2 linked regions of the Tribolium castaneum genome follow. Each later gene encodes a partner of the first gene's protein in a complex. Links are inferred from orthologs where the notes say so. Each region holds a gene or a part of one and is shown on either strand. Other genes may lie near its edges.

The links.
Region 2: the proteins of neurotrimin (region 1) and zwei Ig domain protein zig-8 are in contact, whole or in part, in a crystal structure (PDB 6NRW), measured with the Drosophila melanogaster proteins. The link is inferred for Tribolium castaneum from reciprocal best matches to the Drosophila melanogaster genes DIP-eta and dpr1. Residues at the interface, in NP_001188701.2 of Drosophila melanogaster: Tyr72, Lys73, Val74, Ala75, Leu77, Arg78, Val79, Thr81, Gln82, Thr83, Ile84, Ile87, Ile92, Thr93, Lys94, Asn95, Met124, Gln126, Ile127, Asn128, Thr129, Asp130, Met132; in NP_001286645.1 of Drosophila melanogaster: Asp82, Lys83, Ser86, Ile88, Lys90, Asp92, Leu93, His94, Ile95, Ala98, Tyr103, Thr104, Ser105, Asp106, Glu136, Gln138, Asn140, Glu142, Lys144.

What each region holds. Positions count from the first base shown.
Region 1 is NC_087397.1:7,949,381-7,958,224, forward strand, and holds the end of neurotrimin, read right to left. Parts: intron 7,288-8,844; coding exon 7,129-7,287; intron 5,012-7,128; coding exon 4,883-5,011; intron 4,833-4,882; coding exon 4,695-4,832; intron 3,904-4,694; coding exon 3,754-3,903; intron 3,056-3,753; coding exon 3,011-3,055; intron 2,554-3,010; coding exon 2,497-2,553; intron 875-2,496; coding exon 756-874; 3' UTR 71-755; downstream 1-70.
Region 2 is NC_087396.1:12,588,564-12,598,578, forward strand, and holds the start of zwei Ig domain protein zig-8, read right to left. Parts: upstream 5,688-10,015; 5' UTR 5,276-5,687; coding exon 5,221-5,275; intron 1-5,220.

The sequences.
Region 1 (8,844 bases):
ATCAAACCGCAGCAAGATTATAGATAAATTGCAAGGGCGGAATATAAATTGGATGAAAATAAAACGACTCTTTAGAAAACTATTTTATTTTAGTAGCAAGTTTTTCACAATACAAAATGGAATGATACGGCTATTCACATACTCGTTATTTATACACAAAGAGAATAAACAACCTAAATAGGAAGAAACATTTGACTCGGTTGATTGAGGATATGCATATCGACTTTCAGACTCTTGAACACTAAATTTGTTTTTATTTAAACACAGAGACAGAATCTATAGCCACGAGAAGCTCAACGAGAGACCAGGTTTGTGGCCAGTGATTGGCCTTTGTCAAAATTCGTTTTATCATTAGTATGTGCATAACTTTGCTACACTAAGTACTTGCATGTCGCTTGTAATCCATATTTATGGGGCCCTGACTGCATTCAATCCACCTATTATTATACATACTGCCAATAATTTTATTTCTAAAGCGCTATTGCTTACTAATTACCTTACAAAGAATACAGTTATCAGTCGCAGCCACTAACAGACATTCGCACTGTCTGACAAATGTGTATGATATATGCGAGAAAAAAAAACAATGATTCCGGCCACATGTGCCCCAAATGGACCTTATCACTAAAACCACTTGTAGCGAGGGAAGCATATAAAAAATAGTTAAGGAAGAGAAATTCATCGTCTGAACAACACATCTTGTTTCAGCGTTAATCTTGAGATTTCTCTTGTACACAGCACAACATGAGTAAGATTTATTGTAGGACCAAAGGCAGCGCGACTAAAAAAGCTACGAAGATAAGTCCGGTTTTTGCACGTTCCCCGGAACCGTACTCCTCTTCTTGGAACAAGGAATCCGGTTGGTCGTCCAACCCTGAAACAAACCCGACAGCTTAATTTCAATCACGACACGTCCTCACACATCACCAATCAAGGACACATTGTCTTGGAATAATTATTAAATTATTAATGTGTGCTCCATGCTTAAGCAAGTGCGCATTGCAATCAATCATCCCTTGTTGCCGCTAAATTACTCGGAACGATCTGAAACAGCTCTTCGCGCGTTTTTTTTTATTAAAACTGAAATTTTGGCTGAACATGATCGCGGAAACAGGAGTAATGGGCTGGCTTTGATTTCGAATCAATCTCGGGGCTTACGCGACAGATATTAAAAGACATGTGCTCCAATGCTCCCATAAATCATCAAGCTTCGATGCTTGGATTGAGAGGAAAACAGCCAAAAAGGACGGGAAAAAATTTATGAATGCGAACAACAAGCTTTAATTATATAGAAAGCCGGGAAAATATTACTCCGTCTTGTTGCAGGAGTTTTGATAAAAAGATAAGAATCGTTGTTATCCTTGCGATGTGCAAAGTTGCTTTGAATCGTAAACTTGTTCGCAAGTGTAGTTCCAACTTGTATATTTGCAGATGGTGGCTATTAATGTTTACAGACAACGACTGCAAGCACCTTTATTGTTTCCAAGACAGAAAACTATAAATTGACAATATTAAAAGTGTAATACCGCAATATTACTGTTTTAATTGCTTACTGCGAACGTCTGGTTGTAGATCATTTGAATGGTTACAAAAACTGGTGATGCAGTCTACCGCTTTACTAAAATTAGATACGGAAACAAGAAATTCGCTGCAAGTTTGCTTTAATAGAATGCAACGTTGTGAAGAACCGAGCTAGAAGTAGGAAAACACCTATTAGCGAAACATTCGCTGAAGGGTTCAAATTTAAAGTGAGATTTCAAGTGATAAATTCAGTTGCATTTACAGCGTGACGCTTCGCGATGTTTTCTAAAAGAATCACAGATTATTTCAGTTTGTTTAATCGCTTGGTTTGGTGTAACAAAACTGCGTTAAAATGATGCACAATTTATATTTTTTGCGACGTAGTAATGATTTGTTTTTATCAGTTTCACAAAAAATTTAATATTCATAAAATTGTCTCGGAAGGTAAATATTGCGCAGTATAAATAAATTTCCTTTGGTAGCGTTTACTAGGTAATAAATTTTTTTGTAAAAAACACTGTTTTATGCTAAAGTAAAGTTTTGAAAAATGTCTCTTCGTAGAAATTGCTTCGATCAAAAGCTGGATATTTCAAATAATTGACTGAACTGTCGGCGGTCTTGTATAATTTAAGACATCAACTCGAAAGAGCTATCTTTTCCTGCTAAAAATTTAACATGAAGAGGGGGTCTTTTACAACTGTAACTCAAAGTATTATCCTCGATGTCTGTAAACAAGCATTATGTGATAAAATCGTGAACGGGGTAAGCTTGTAATCTCGAGTTTTTTTACTTTGTCGGATAAAAGAGTGTGGTTTTGCGGCGCACCATAACGCGAAAATCGTCGGTTTGTGGTCGGGGCCGATCTATTATTTATGGTCATTCCCGTGTATACGTAAGGGACCACAAGCAAGTTCGTAAGATCCACGAAATATTCATTGCAATATGAATAATTTTCTAGAGCAATTGATTACTCACCGTCGGCGATATTTTCCAGTTCTCCGATGACGTCGTTGGGTTTCTTTTTAAGTTTGCCTGTGGTAACATAACGGCGAAAATTAATAACGATCCCGTCCTAATATATAATTTATAAAACGTAACCGGCGTTGATTTGTAAGTGAAATAAATTATGAAATTGCATGTTAACATGACGTTTCCACCTAAATTCGCTGGTAAGTGACTGGGAAGTGCGGAATCGTGCTTGTTAATCGTGACAGTCTGCGCCATGCTGAGCTTTTGTATATTAATCAAGAGTCGGCGCGAACTTTAAACCGAGATTTCTTAAAGCCGGATCTTGGACGGATTTTACACGCCTCGGCGCAATTTATTCACTCATTATTAATAACTCGGTTAATTAATCGAGGAAACGTTGGACGTATGGAACATAAATACGCATCACCGCACGATAAATTACCGACACAGAGAGCCGGGTTAGTTTTATAAATTACGTCACGTACCTTCCAACTTTCGGGGTTAAATGTTACGAACTCACCTTTCCTTGATAAACCATTCGAAAGTTTTGATGGCTTAGGTATGGCTGTAAAAAATATAGACTCCAGTTAACATTCCTCAATCATACGAAATATGACGCTTCTACATTTATGGACAGCATTAACACCGAAAATTTTCCCAATAAAATTTTTATCGCCAATATTACAGCATACTAATCTGATTAAACCCACATCGCAATTACACTATCGTGTTTTTTCTGCAATAAATGGCGATAAAATTCGAAATTAAATTTGACTAAAGTAAAATCACCAACGCGTTTGAATCAATCTTGATCAGTGAAAGATAAAACAAAATCTCTCAAACCACGGGGATTTAATAGATTAATTCAATCACGCAATAATTAGAGCAAGTATTTGCCAACAATTTCCACTATTTTCCGCCAGTCTGACTTCAACTGCAAATTTAGCAACAAAACATGAATCAGCACGTTTGCAAATTGAAAATAAAACTCGCTCTAGTTTCCATACTGTTTTAAATCAAAGATTAAGTCCTGAAGTGTAGTGCTTCGAGTCATTTTTACAAGTAAGTGTGTAATTAGCAATACAGATTTGTATTTATCAAAGAAGACTTTAGTGTAGTATTTGATGCATAAAACGCGATTCCCCGGTTCGCTAGTCAAAGTTGAAATATTTCAAACGAGACTAAGAATAAGTTTCCCCTTTGGGTTCATTCTTCGCCTAATCATTTAAAATTCATTTCGAAATATCAGCGTAATCAACTTACCGAAAACTTGTATCGTTCCGTCCGTATCGCCTAAAGAGTTTTTCGATACACACTTGTAATTCCCGTAGTCCTGCGGAGTTATCGACCGTATGGTCAGTTTCATGTGGATCTTGTAGCCGTTCGTCGAGTACGATGGTTCGTATTTTCCACCTGAAAATACGGAATAATTTACGGTTTATATCGGGTATAAAATCTGGATTATAATTTATAATACCGGAATTTTCAGCATGAAAAATATTGACTCAATTGCGTCACTACCGTATTACATCGATTGACGGCCAATTTGCCACGTTATTGTTACTGATACTTGCGAATGTAAGGTTCACGCAAGAGCTATTGCCGCCACTTGGCACATATTTATCGAACAAAATATTTTTTGTTTCATGACAACAAATGAGGGTTTATAGCGAAGCGGGATCGTAAATCTGTCCAAATTATTTCTAAATATGTAGCAACCAGAAACATCACTATAACAAAGACAGAGCACCCTTTTGAAATCGCTGTCTATGGAGAAGCAACGAAAACTTGTTTGATTTGTTATTAAAAAATCTAACAAGTGGTAGGTAGTATATTTTAATTACAGTGGGACCACAAGTGTGATATTTTACGTCGGCTGTGTTGTATCGAATTGATAAAATTATGAGCCCCCGAGAGGCCAAAATTAATGTGAAGTCATTGGGCTCGTTAATAAAAAGAGTAATAAAAATCCGGAGACAAAACCCGAAAATGAGGGTAAAACCGGCAGCGTAATTAAAAAAAAGAGAGAAAAAGAAAAGACAATAATACAATAAAGGACGAGAAAAAAATTGTGAAATCCATAGACGGAAGTTGTGATCGTGCTTTTAGCTCTTAACAAACCAACGGTCAGACCTGTCCGAGAAACTTATCTAAAAAGCAACACGTTTTCCTTTTACACAGCGAAATAATAAAAAAGTACTAACTTTGCGGAACGATTTCGCCTTTATCAGTGGTCCAGTAGTTAATAGACTTCGGAAAAGCCTCCGAGTGGCATTCGAGTGTTATCTGTTGTCCCTCGTATGCTCCCACTAGCTGATTCTGAATCCAGATCATTGGAGGAACTGGAAAAGATCTGATGAGAATGGACCGGTGAACGCTTCAAACTGCTTACAATGCACGATGAGCATGATGCGCTTGCTGACTGATGGAGGAATGCCGTTTGAGGCGATGCACAGGTAAGGCCCCATTTGTTGCCGACTCACGCGACTGATGTTCAACACAGGACCGTCGACACTTGGCACTGTGAACACAAAAACGCAAATTGTGAAAAATTAGCGAGTTAAATAATAAATTTGTTCCGACTTTTGACCCGGCGCCTCCACCAAAATTGCATATTATTACATTTAAAATTTAAAGATCCATTGGTATGAAAGATTGTTACGTACAGTAAGTAAGCACCTTCGTAGATACTATTTCCGTTTCTTTCAGATTTTGTTCAATCTTGCATAACATAACACAACATAAGACGCGCTCCCGAAAAATTATTTTAAAAAGAAATAATTTTTTTTAATGTTTAAAATTTTTTCTAAACTGTTTTGTCAAATAATGACTATTATGACATCGCACTTGATGACGATGAGTGCTTTAAGATGCCTATTAAAGAATCAAAATGGCGGAAAATTACAAAAAACATTTTCAACTATTTATGCTGTCAATTTTTCCGTGTCATTATAGTCATTATTTCTCGTTTTTTGGTAGAAAATTTCAATACTCCTTTTAACTTCTTTTCTGCTCCAAAATTCACTATCAAGCGATGGATATTGCTAGAAAATAGCAATATATCTGTGATATTATGTTTAAATTGTTTTACTGATGTTACAACTAAAAATTTTATGACTTACAAATTTAATTAAATCGAGGAATCTTATCACAACATTTAAGTCAGTATTTATTTGTTATAAAAAGTATGTTTGCTTCTGTAAAAACAAACAATAAGAACACATCGCGGTAGTGGGTTTAATATTCGCGACATTTTAAATTAACCGCAAGGTTCTGCATACGTTTTTCTAAAGGTTAAAGTTAGAATGTATGTTATATGTTGTGTAACATTTTAATTTCGTATAAAAGGAAATGTCAATGCACTACAAAAACAAGAGGAGGAAAGCCCTGAATGAAACTTACTTTATGTCATTTGAAAAAAGTATTGCTTTCCTAGGTAAGATTTTGTTTAGAGACATGGCAAATGAGATAATTAGGCAAATTGAGTAACGTTGTTTACACGCCCATCACAAAGTTTAACACATTCCGCAGGTAAAGTTGGCAAAGGCATGAGTAATGCCGGCCGTTTTGTAGTTAAGACACGTTGGAGATCTCGTTTTGAAGCAATGATAAATTTTCGAGCAAAATATTTTTCGCTGCAGTTTGTATATTTATTCAGAAGATTGTGCCACTTTTGGCGGCAGGTTGTGCTATCGCATTAGGCGATTACGTGTCTTCTTGCGATGTGTGCTTTGCTGCGCTTCTGAAGGACCTTCAATTAACGTGAAAAGCCGCTTCTGACTGAGATAAATCTCGGCTCGATATGATTTCTGCGCAAGCCTCCCAAACCAGGCAAGAATGATGGAAATTAATTATTCATTTGAGACCGAGCATAAAGAATGGTTCTTTTTTTGTTTGCAAACGGCGTGAATCAATGGAAGAGTAGCGAAGTGTCTTCTGAATTTTCAACAGAACTTTCCGTCACGTTTTTCCTCGTCATTTAACGTGACTTCTAAATACTTGCATTATGCCTCTTGCTAAATTTACATATTTTTATTACGAGTTTTCGATAAACTCGGCTTCGACTTTTCTTGCGTGACAATCGCACTTGCTCTCACTTCACGTGTATTTTTCTTGACGGAACTTGATCCGCTCAACTTTCGATGTTTTCAACAATGGCAACTTTATTCCGAACTCAGGCAATTTCGGAAATTTCACACCCAATACACCGCACTTGAGATTAATATCTCGATAGGTACACACCCAGAAAGCAGGGCAGATAACGAGCGAATTCATTTTTCACGAGCCGTTTCCAATTTTTTAACGTTATACATATTAGACTTTATGCGCGCTGGAAGCGGCGCCGAATTCGGGAGCTACCCTACCGAGAACTTTCATTAATTAGTAATTGTGTGAAAAATACACTCATGCCTTCATGCTCTCATAACCAAGCCATTGGATACTCCATGATTAACCAATCGATTAACCAAAGCGAGACATGCAGCTAAGCCACTTTCCCCGCTGCACTGTAATTTAGTTTTCAACCTTTTCATGATTCGTTAACGTCACTTTACAACGCAAAAATATAACAATACAATCGATTTACTCATTCATCATGTCTACGTCTAGTTCAGACTTTTCGCTATAATTTGTAATCACCTTCTTCTCCCGTTAACAATTTGAGGGGCTCTCCGGTTTCTCGTCTCCAGTTGATTGAAGGTTCTGGTGATCCATTGGCAACACAGCGAAGATTCACGTTGGATCCCTCACGCACCACCATATCGGTGCTCGTAGGGTAGTCCAGGATATCCGGAGGCACTAAAAGAACAACAACAAACTCGGTTATTGCAAAATACAACCTTCAACAACTTTATCAAAGCAGATCCAACAATAACACAATCCAACTTAACATCACAATCCAAGATTTAACTTGCATATAACAAACTCTAAGATAGACAACTGTTTATTTCCAGATAGACAAAGTTCGAAATAATCGGCTTTGTAAGCTCAAATCTATCCGAATAGATTTAAGAAAAGCACATCTCTTAAACAAAGGGTTTATAAAATCATTCTGGCAGTCGGGGTAATTAAACAACTTAAATTGCCTCTAAGCTCAGCCGAAAAACTTTAAAACATTTTAATCCATATCTCTAGCTCGTAATAAACAGATATGGCGTGGAGATTTTTGAAAGTACAAGCATTCCAACACGCGTTATCTGGTGGATCAACAATTTTAACGTTGTAATTAATTCTATAAAAGCAAATCAGCGACAACGCTTTGAAGATAAAGAAAATAAATACATTGTGCTGTTCGCTCCGCGGAAATGTGGGTTTTGGAATAGAAGTAACGCAATTAGATGGCGGTTATAAGCTACCCTGTAATGTTACATACGACGCGCTGCACAAGAAGTGATGTTAAAACGTCCTATGATTCGGTGTTATGTAATTTGATGGCTGTTTTACATACATTTGCATGTTATTGGATGGCGGGGAAAGGTGGTTGCTGAAACACGACCGACTCACTAACCACGCATGGGGAGACAGCTATTACGGTAGCAAATTTAGTGGCTTTTGCAGAAGTGGTTTTACCTGATGTCCTCGGATTAGCTTCGGTCTGTTATCCCACATTTATTAAAACAGCTTCGCTTAATTTCATTATTAATTTATTTGGAAAGTTGCACTAAACTCTAACAATCCGCTAAACGGACAGTACGAGTTTTAATTAGATCGCCCCAATAATCTCCCAAAATTAACGGAAACCGCACAAAAGCGGATAAGTATTGCCTTGACGATGCGTTAGCTTGGCGAAAGAGCACCTATTTGGGGTTTTTTAAACGATGACAAATAAGAGGCAATTTTGTTCTTGACCTTCTTGTCAAGTCGGGGCACGTTCCGGTACAAAATAAGGGACCAAAATGCAATCCCTAAGATTTTATATTACATACAACTAAAAACATCAATAAGTAGGAGCGAAAAACTTGATCCACGGAACGGATCAAATTTATCCAGCGATGTAATAAATATTCCTAAACACAAAGTAATTTAAATTTAACACAGATAGAAAAATTCACAATCTCGACGGTATTACTTATTCCGTTCAAAGGACAAATCACAAGCTGTGCCGCTGCGCTGCCGTAAATAAGAAATGCTCTCTTTCTAGATATAATAGTGCAGGTGCCATTGATTTGCTGTATGCCGATATTTGCTTATTTATGAGCTTGAAATCAAAACCGGTCATGGAACGGAAATAAAACACTTATTTTACAATATTGACATTTATAACATTTGCGAAATAATATACTTTAAACAGTTATATATTTTTAACAAAAACAATTATCGCTGAAAATGAAATTGTACATTAAAATATTGACAAAT
Region 2 (10,015 bases), on another chromosome or scaffold:
CATTATGTGTGACACACTATTAAATTTCCAAAGATTTTCTAGACCCGCTTGAATTTAGCGAAAACGCGTGATAAATTATGTAAACGGAGGAACATAAATTTTGCGAAAAAACCTTTCCTATAATTTGTCTCTTCCATCATTTGTTTCATAGATAAAAAATTTTGAGATTATTTACGAGCTGCTTCTTCGCAAACCTCCCTCCGGCAAATATGTAATGGCACTTCTTGAGAACAGAGCGCTTGACCGGCGAGATGAGCCAGATTTCTTGTGCTCTGCACACTCTTTACTAAAAGAAATATTAAAGGCGACATGAGGTTTACAAGATCTAATATTGTTAGTTGACACAATTATTAAATACAGTTATTTAAAAGTTGGTGATTTGAAGTCATAATAGGAAATTTACTGTGCAATATCGAACAAAAATTATTTTAATAATAATTTAAATTTGCGCCTAACAAAACTGTGATATCTTTAATGTACATTGTGTTCAACGACTTAATTTTACTATAGTGACATTATGAAATAATGTGTAATTTTGTCAGATTATTTTTTTAAATTTATGTTTGCCTCCACTCTTGTAATTTTTTATTTTTAATTGAAATAAATAGTTAAAATGTATGTGAACCTAAAAACAAAGTAATGGTAAAGGTAAAATACTTCTCAACTTTACTCGCATATTTCAATATGTATGAAATTGCAAAAAATAACGTTCTGTTATTGCACCAACTAATTGCTTATTAAAAAGTTTGTACAAAAATGTGAACATTAAAATTAATAAAATTGCTACTGCAATTGTTAACTGCAGCAAAATAGACTAAATTTTCAAAATCACTTCGTCGACTAGTGTGTAGAATTAATTAAAAAATACAAATAATAATAGTATATTAAAAAATGCGATTTTGTTAAACAGCAAGCAATTTCTAAATTTGATATGGTAATCTGGCCTTGAGTTAGGAGCCAATTTTATAAAACTAAACTGCATACCCGTACAACAAGCTAAAAAAATTCTATTAGCTGTTTACATTTAAAGCAAATAATTTTGTGCAGAAATATTTGAACAGAATTTGTCGATCGCGAATTACTGTTTTATTGTACACATTTGTAACAAATGTATCATTAATATTATACCCACTACTAATTATGCAATTTACAGTGGTTTTAATTTGGTTTTGTTTTATTGAAACCTCCATTAACACATTGTTTGGAGCGCATCTAATTAGGAATATAAATGTCATTGTGTAAATTGAAGAGAATCATTATAAGTTTTTCAACTGTCGATCGTATTACGTCTCCTTGATTGCTCAAAAATTACCTTCCGGATTTGCATTGGTAAATAAGGAATTAATTGCATATTGTGCAAATTTTATTTTCGATTGGCTGTGTGTTCGTGTTGGCAGTCCTATGGGCTGAATAATCGATTTCAGCAGGTTGTCATTACAATTTGAATAAGTCATCGTCCATGTCCATGCTCGATTCGCTGCAAATTAGATATTCTGTAGCGAAGATTAATTTGTCGTGCAACATTCTGTATTGAGTGAATGATGCTGATGATACAGTTGTGTGCCAAATGGTGTTTTGATGATACGCCATCTAGTGTCTGTTGCGTCTGCAGGTGACGTATTATGAGGGCGACGCCGCGCGTCGCGACGTACCTCCGAAGTGCCTATCGAAGCGGACGTCGCCGTCGCTCACTCACATTCACGTCCTCGATACTCATTCATCTCCGACCGCATTATTTTCAAAGTGCCATCCTGCGACGTCTCTTTGAACACTGTCTAGGTCGAACACTTGTCAACTTCTATACGAGTCATTAATCCTCATGGTGGTACGCCCTCCATCGACAAAATAAAGGAAAATTTTTATATTACTGACGTGACAGTTGGGCTTTGATACCGCGTGGAAATTACAAGGAAAACAATAGCCAGGGGAGGAAGCAATGATACTCTTGTTTTATATTCAACGAAAACAGATCAATATCAAACGTAAATTTGAAAAAATAAATAACAAATTTAATTTGCCAGATGGGCTCGAAGATCAAGAATATTTTCGCAAAACGCAAGAAATGGCATCTGCCTGCCTATGGCACTTGAAAATGAATTTCCAGATTGATGGAACGTGGAAGATGAATTTCAAAGTTCAGTTCTGTTGACTTTTTATCGCGGTTCGGTCAGTAGGTCACCTGAGGTTCTTCAAGAAAATGGAAATTAATTGATGTCACACACCATACAATATACAAAAAGATGTTATTCACCTGTAATAATTAAAATCCTAGAAAATCAATCCAATTTTATTACTTATTACAACTTTTAGTTTTAGTTAATTTTTTAATTATTTTTTTAATTATTTTTACAACAAATTGTAATAATAATAGTTGAACTATGCAGCTTTTATAAACTGCCGACGAAACCGTATCCAGTTTTAGAAGTTTTATAATTAAACTTTTTTAGCAGAAATACAAGAGAGAAGTTTATTTCATAATTTTAATATAAAACGTTTTCAAAATTAATTTGTATTATCGAAACCGTATTTGCTATCTTTCGAACCACTCGTATAGATATACCCAGCTATTACTTCTATTAAAAAACGATCAATATTATGTGAATTCTGATACAAGTCTGTAAAAGTTTCATGTCGTGTATTTTATCTCCATCTTTATTGACCCATTTCTATTTTAACTCATATGCGAGAAAATATTTTTATAAATTTATGTTTTATTAAAATTTAATATTAAGCTTTAATGATAAGCTAGGCTTATTTTTTTGCGTGTAAAAACCGAAATTTCTGTAAGTATGGTTGTAACCACCAGCACTTTAAACCTTTTATGTTTAATTACTTTTAATTAGCGCGAATAAACAAAATCAATATTAGCGAACCAAAAATTAGCATAGCTATTATCCGCCTTTGCTATTCGAACTGAAAATCCCCTTCCCATATCCCCACAAGCTTTCAGCAGTTCTATTAAGTTATCTTCAGATGCACCGTCTGTTGTTGCTGGGGTCAAAGCAGCAGTCGTTAGTGACCATTAGTGTTTCATTACTTTGGTCACAGGTTTTTGGGACCCCATCAGTACAAGCAATTTTAAAGGCTTGATTCTTGCGAGGGCAGAAAAGTAAATTTACCCTTCCCTAATTTGCATGATTTGATAAAACTATTTAAAAGTCTATTTGCCTGTGCCCTCATTATAAATCTTTTTAAATTAGCCAAAACTCGATGCTAAACGTTCAGTCCTGTGAAACCGTTAACAAAGCCTTTACATAGCGCTTTGAGTTGCCGAGAGTAGTTTGGCGGCATTTTAGTGTCCTTTTTGGTCATGAAATACCGCATTTACGCCGAAGAATGAGGCTAGAAAAACGACCGGCAAAAAGAAGCAGTTTTACGGCTGCATAAATATTCAGATTTTGTTATTTTTAAACGCAATTAATTTCTTCGTGTACCGGGTCACGCAAAATGTAGCAATATGTTAACTTAGTTATTTCTAATAAACGTGGTGTTGATGCGGAATCAATTTAAAGTGTAGCTTTTAGTTTAAAACTAACATTATATTCGATCTTGGAAACACATGCATGTGACTTCAAAGACAAAGTTTGACGCTTGAAGCATTATGCGGAGAAAATCAACTAAATTAAGACCATCTATAGCAAAATACCGATGTATAGGTGTTGTAAATTACTGAATAAACCACTCACGAATCGTATTGTGCTTTTTCAAGCAAAAATACAAGAAATAAAAGAGTTATTAGTCCGAGTGTATAAGCGCTTAAGTGTAGCACAAACATTTTTATCGTCGTATAAAATTAAGTTTTTATATTTATCATTTCGTGATCAACCCTTCATAAAAACAAGATCGACTTCCGTCTGAAAGGCCGGAATGACCTTGCTAATACACAATTTTATTTGTGTTTTCCACACGGTTAACTCGAAGTCAACTTGGAAGCTTTTTACTTTTAATGGTCAGTTTTGACGATATCGAACTCTATTTTTCATCGGAATCTGGCCGACTGTCAGATATCCCTTCGTCCTTGCTTCAACGACTGCTTGTTTGTATGATAAATGGCCGCGATCAAAGCCGTTCTGAATGACGGAAATAAAACCAACTACAAATGTTTCGCCCCAAATTTAAGCCGTAACAGGTCACCTGACACAGCTGCACAATTGTTCATTACCTTAAATTACAACCGTCCACAAAAGTAATTACAACTTTACTTTATGAAACTGGAACATTCTCCAACTTAATTAATAATGACAAGCACCGAAGTTAAATTACTAGCAAAAATGTTCATCTCAACTGGCCAAGAGAGCAACGTCTTATCGATTTTTCAATTTTTTTCAATTAGAAACTTGTCAACTGCAAAAACTGAATTGGGCCACCCACTCTTGGAAATTTAATAACAATTTCAAGTCTGACTTACCAGCTACGTCTTCTGTCAGTTAAAATAAAAAGCATTTCCGTGTATTACACCGCATCTTCTTAACAGATTTTCACGTTCTTATAACTTTATTCGCACCATTTTAAGTGCAAGGAAACTTTGCAAAATTCTATTTTTGAGAGTAGGAGGCTAAGTGATCCAGGAAGGTATGCGCTCTATTTAGCAAATGAACAGCATTTCTGGGAAAGCTTAGTCAACATTATGTACAGCAATTGCAACTTGTCTTAGCATTCCGGCATTGCCATTTTACCGACTAACCACATCTTTAATAACACTAATGGAACATTCACGCTTTCCCTAATGCAACCAATTCTTCCCTTCTGTCATTCATACGTGTAAAATAAAGCATATTTCACAAAAAACGCAAAACGAGAAAGAACGCGTTATAGAAAATCCAAAATCTCATTACGCGACTTAAGTGCAGCGGGTGAAATACGAAGCATTAGTAAATAAATTGGATTAGGGCGACCATAAATTAGAGAGCAAGTGGAATCGCTTTTATTTGAGCGTTTTACATCTATATCGAGAATTCGATATTTGAGAAACGTTCCAGCAAAAGAACTCCGGAATATTTGATTGATTCTGATTTGCATAATATTTGCAGATGAAGAAATATCTGAAATATTTATTTAACTCGGCTGCTAGTCAGAGATTAATCCCCGGTATGTGGAAAAATCGATGATATCTCGCCCGTAATTGCTTTAAATTCGGTATCGGCGCCCACAATCGACGCTCTGCCAGAAAACATCATAACGCTACAATGGAAAAGTGAAGGGAAGGTCGGTGCAACTTACCCACGCAAGCTACAAACAAAAGGCCTAAGAACAAAAGTTCTCGTGCGTTCTCCATTGCGCTTAGAGGGGTCCTTCAACATTACCACCAGCACTGTAATTTGTTACCATTATCGCCGAGTCTCTCACCAGTGTGTCATTTTCTATCCGATTATTTCTTCGAGCGCTTGCGATCATCCGAATAATCTACTTTTAATTCGAGATTGTGCACCAAGAGACACTAACACTGCACTGGGGAATTAAAATCACAGGAGTTCACTAAACTAGCTACACCATAGATGATTACAACTAACGGTTATTACGTTAAATCTACAGTCTTCTATTTTTTGGATGAAGTTGCTTTTGATAAAGGAGTTTAATGGTGGCAATTAGCGCGCTTATCAGGCGGAGTTCGAGTGCGCGGGTTGCGGATTGCAAACATGCCGCGAAGTGTAGAGAAAGACCTTCAGGGAACGAGTGGCGCCTCGACGCCGCAAAACCCGGTCAAACTCCGGCGCCTGCGTCCGTCCCTTTAATTCTATTATGATTATAGTCATCGCTGATAACACAGATTCGATATTGATGGACAGTTCCTGGGATCCACTCCACTTGTAAATCGTCCCTTTCTTATCACAGAGCCTTTGACAAGTCGGGGCTATCGCGCCGGTGGCCACCTCCCAGATAAGCGGTACTTCCAGGTTTTCGAGAGCTTTACAACTGTTACCCTTCTTGACATAAGTAGCGACTCGAAGCCCCCGAATCGATTTTAATTTCGTTTAAATGCAACTCAACCCCTGAGTAATTGGAGGGACAGACCGTAAAAAAATTGTCGCAATTTAACTTCGACGACCATTTCGAGAGTTTTATGTTGACGCGAAAATTCGATACAAGAATCTTTCTGTTATTACTTAGAATGACGGATTTCGGGCCGTAATCAAATTTTCGATTCGCGTACAATGGATTCACGTTCTGCGTCAATTTATTTTAACAAGATTGCTGATATGGACGCACATTTAAATAAAAGGGTCTCTTGTGGGTGCTGGAGACTCGACTACACTATGAACGGCATCGGCTCTAATAGGCGTTTCAGGTGTTTTCTAATTAAAAGTTCAAGGAAAATTATGCAAAAATTATCCGGGACACCTCGGGAGAGAATTTCCTGCCGTCTTATTGTTCAAACGTCAAAGAAAAATACACTTAATTATTCACAGAAATTTAATACTCTCCAAATTTCCAACTCGATGTTTTCTTTACCAGCACAACTGCATCCGTATTGTGTGCGATAATTAACATTACAATAAACAGCGAATAGGCAGGAACAAAAACAATCTGGTTTAAACAATTAATTAAAAACGTAATTAATTTTTTTGTAAATTATTTCTTAAAAAAAAAATTGTTTACACGAAAGGAAGGCGCGTTATTTGTGTTTGTAATACGAGTCTTTAAAGGAAAATATTTTTTGACTCGAAATTTTGCCAAGAAACATGAGATACTGTATGTTCAAATATTTAATGTGAAAACAAATTGCTATTAGGTAACAAACAAAGCGTAATATTTTTAATATTCTTGAACTCAAAAATTGTGATAAATTATTCAAGATCAGTTAAGTGCAAGGTTGGATAATTTCCTGTACGTAACCTTAGATTATGAGAAGAGATGGAAACTCAATAGCCTTCTTGTAATTAATAATGTATAAGCCAGCTATCCAATCGATCATCATTGATGAGAAGAGAATATAATTAGGTTAATGGTGATGATCGATCAAATTGAGAAGTTCTCGAAAATTTGTACTCTACTTGATACATCCTTGTTAATTACCAACTTTCTTCAACATCATTTAATAAACCCTGGACTGAGAAAAATGACAGTTTGTTCCAGTAAAGTGCAATTTTGGCGTGACAACACCATACGATAAATTATTACGATATAATACGTATTGTTGCATATAACATTGAGGTGATTATCCCTCTGTAATGTTGAAAATTGTAATTACATAATTCGTCGCCACATCGTTTATAACAATTTTGTGCTAAAATTTGGAGTCGGATGATCGCTAATTAACCTTAATACGACATTAAGCAGAAAGGAGACGTGATGGTGCCATAGCGGCATAAATTAACCGTAGGGGAGACCCGGTCTTAGGTGACACAAAACAATCAGGGTGACGTAATTTAAAATGACTCGAAGTTCTTTTGAGACATTACCAACGAAATATAAATATTACAAATAAATGGAGGGCTTTCACTTTTATTTTATTTTTAAAATTCTCCGGTATTTATATCACAAAGAGAAATGTGTTGGCGAAGACTTAAAATTGGAAAGGGTGAGGCGAAAACGCGATATCAATTACCCAGTCTGAGAGTTCTTTCATTTGCAAAATGCTGCATTCAACTTACGTTGGCTTCGTACTTGATTGACCAGGTTTGAAAACTGTCAAAACTTTTATTCAGTTTCTTTTAAAATTCACTTAATTGGAAAACGTCTTGTCTGAGATTCTCTCAGTATGAACAATTGCATATGAGGAAGCACGAATACAAAGAATTGCAAGCTGGTGTGAGCCTTTGTACAAGCGCCTCCTGCTTTGCACAACAAAACGATGTCAATTAGTATTTCAATTTTACATCGTCGTGTCTGTCGATAAACGCAGATCTCTCGCTGACTTTTCCTCGCACCCTCCAATACACGCGTACAGGCGTAGGTGCCAAATAAATACACCGACGGCTTTTAAAATACAAAATTGTAGCAGAATTTTCTATTTATCTGCTTCCTAGAAGGGAAAATATTCGCTCACATTTAGAATATGACACGAGAATAAAAATATTGTCATTATTATTTAAAAAATAAGAAAACAATGTTGATTCAACTAATGTTTTAAAAATCAAACAAAGTATTCAAGAGGAAAGTGCAATTAGTATTTTTGGTTGCATCTTAGAACATAGAAATAACCCACTATTGACTCATCCTGTACATTTATATAAATACACATGTATTTGTCTTATAATAAACTCAGATTATTAAAATCAACCACAAAAATTATTTTCTATCGCAAATTTTTGTGTTTGTAACCAAATTAAACGAATAATGACCTAATTTCTGTCCTGTTTGAAGCTCAGAGAACGCATTTGTTCTCAAATTGGTAGATCTCTCATCAAATAAATTGGTCTCCGTAGTTAGAACCTTATAACGATGTAAGTTTCATTCTTATGATGTCACCACTGTTACAAATAATTAATTTTTCTTGATAGATGGTCTATTATTATGTACATATAATCAGCGGTTAAGTATAGGTATTTTCAGGTGGTGCTCATAAATTTATTGATGATTAATTAAATATATTGGTGTTATAAAAATTTGAAGATATTCATCAATGCTCAGTCTGAATGTTATTTATTGATTATCGATTACGTTTTCAAGAGACTGTACATAAATTATGCAATAATAATGGTTTAAAGCAAACAAAAAATTTAATAAATTCGTGTCCATTAAAATTACCGCTTCTAAAGTAAAGTATATTTTTCTATTTCTTTACATTTTTCCTAACAATGAGTTGGTAAGAGCACTTTATATTTGTGGTTAAAATTGGTTTAGCAAAGAAGTAGTTACAGAAAATGCATTTGGTTTTATTTAACTATAACGCCATCAAAATCCATTAACTGAATAAACTTTTTTTAGGATAGGCATGTTCGACTAAACTTTGTACTTAAAATAGAGGAGATTTAAGCCATCGTTAGTCTTTAACTATCAAATGCAATTACCTCTGATCTATACGGATAAAATCGTAAACTTTCAACGTTATCGTAGTTTTACAAAGTTTTGGAAGTTGTATTTCACATAGTGGTGGAGGATTTTATGCAGTTGTCATGAGACTGCATTTAATGAAAAACGACATTACTATTTTAGTACTAGATAACTAAATTTAATTTATTTTTTGTTTTGAAGCATTCACCCCAAATTACAAAATGCAAAATTTAATGCAAGGACAGTTTTATCTCTTAATCGTTGTACATACTTAAAACTTATACAGAATAATTCATAATACGTTAATTAATTTTAAAACAGACAAAATGTTAGTTTGAACAAATTACTTTCTAAAATTGCAGAACGTATTTTTTATATTGAAACTACTTTTTAAACTTTGCGAGTGTGTTGTTAAAGAAAATGAATATAACTAATCTTACGCTATTATTTGTGATTAATTTAAGAGAAAAAAAATGCTCTCGTTACATTCAGAAATAGATTCCAATTTGTGAATATTTGTTTATTTGTTTTGGCTTCGGAATCAAAGCAAATTGGCTTTTCCAGTTTTTTCCTAAGCGGAAAAAGCGGTCGTTTAAGCCCCTCTGACAGCAGCACTATCATCAGGTAAGCACAATTTGTAGGGAAACAAACCGTCCGATGACGGGTTGTCCATTACTCGCCCCTAGCTAGGGCGCAACCAGGGGAGCATGTAACACGTCATTACTGCGGTCGTAAAGGCAATCATATTGGACCGCACTTATTATTTTTCCAGATCATAAAGTCCGCCAGTCACAAATCATTTTTTCTCCACCCCCGTGTACAATAGAAGGAGACGATAACAGGCACAGCGATAATGGGCGAGATAAGGAGCGCAACTGATGATTACGAGGGTTCCAGACTCGGACTGCATTGTATATTGCAAAATAAATGTTCGCGTTTTTATGGTGGCCATCAAAAATCGTTCCGACTCTTGCAATACTTGTGAAAAAAATGGCCACCGTTGTCTTTCAGACCCTTTATATGGATTTTCAAGCACGTGATAAAAATTGACAACTACCAAGCCAATATCCCAAAAATGAAA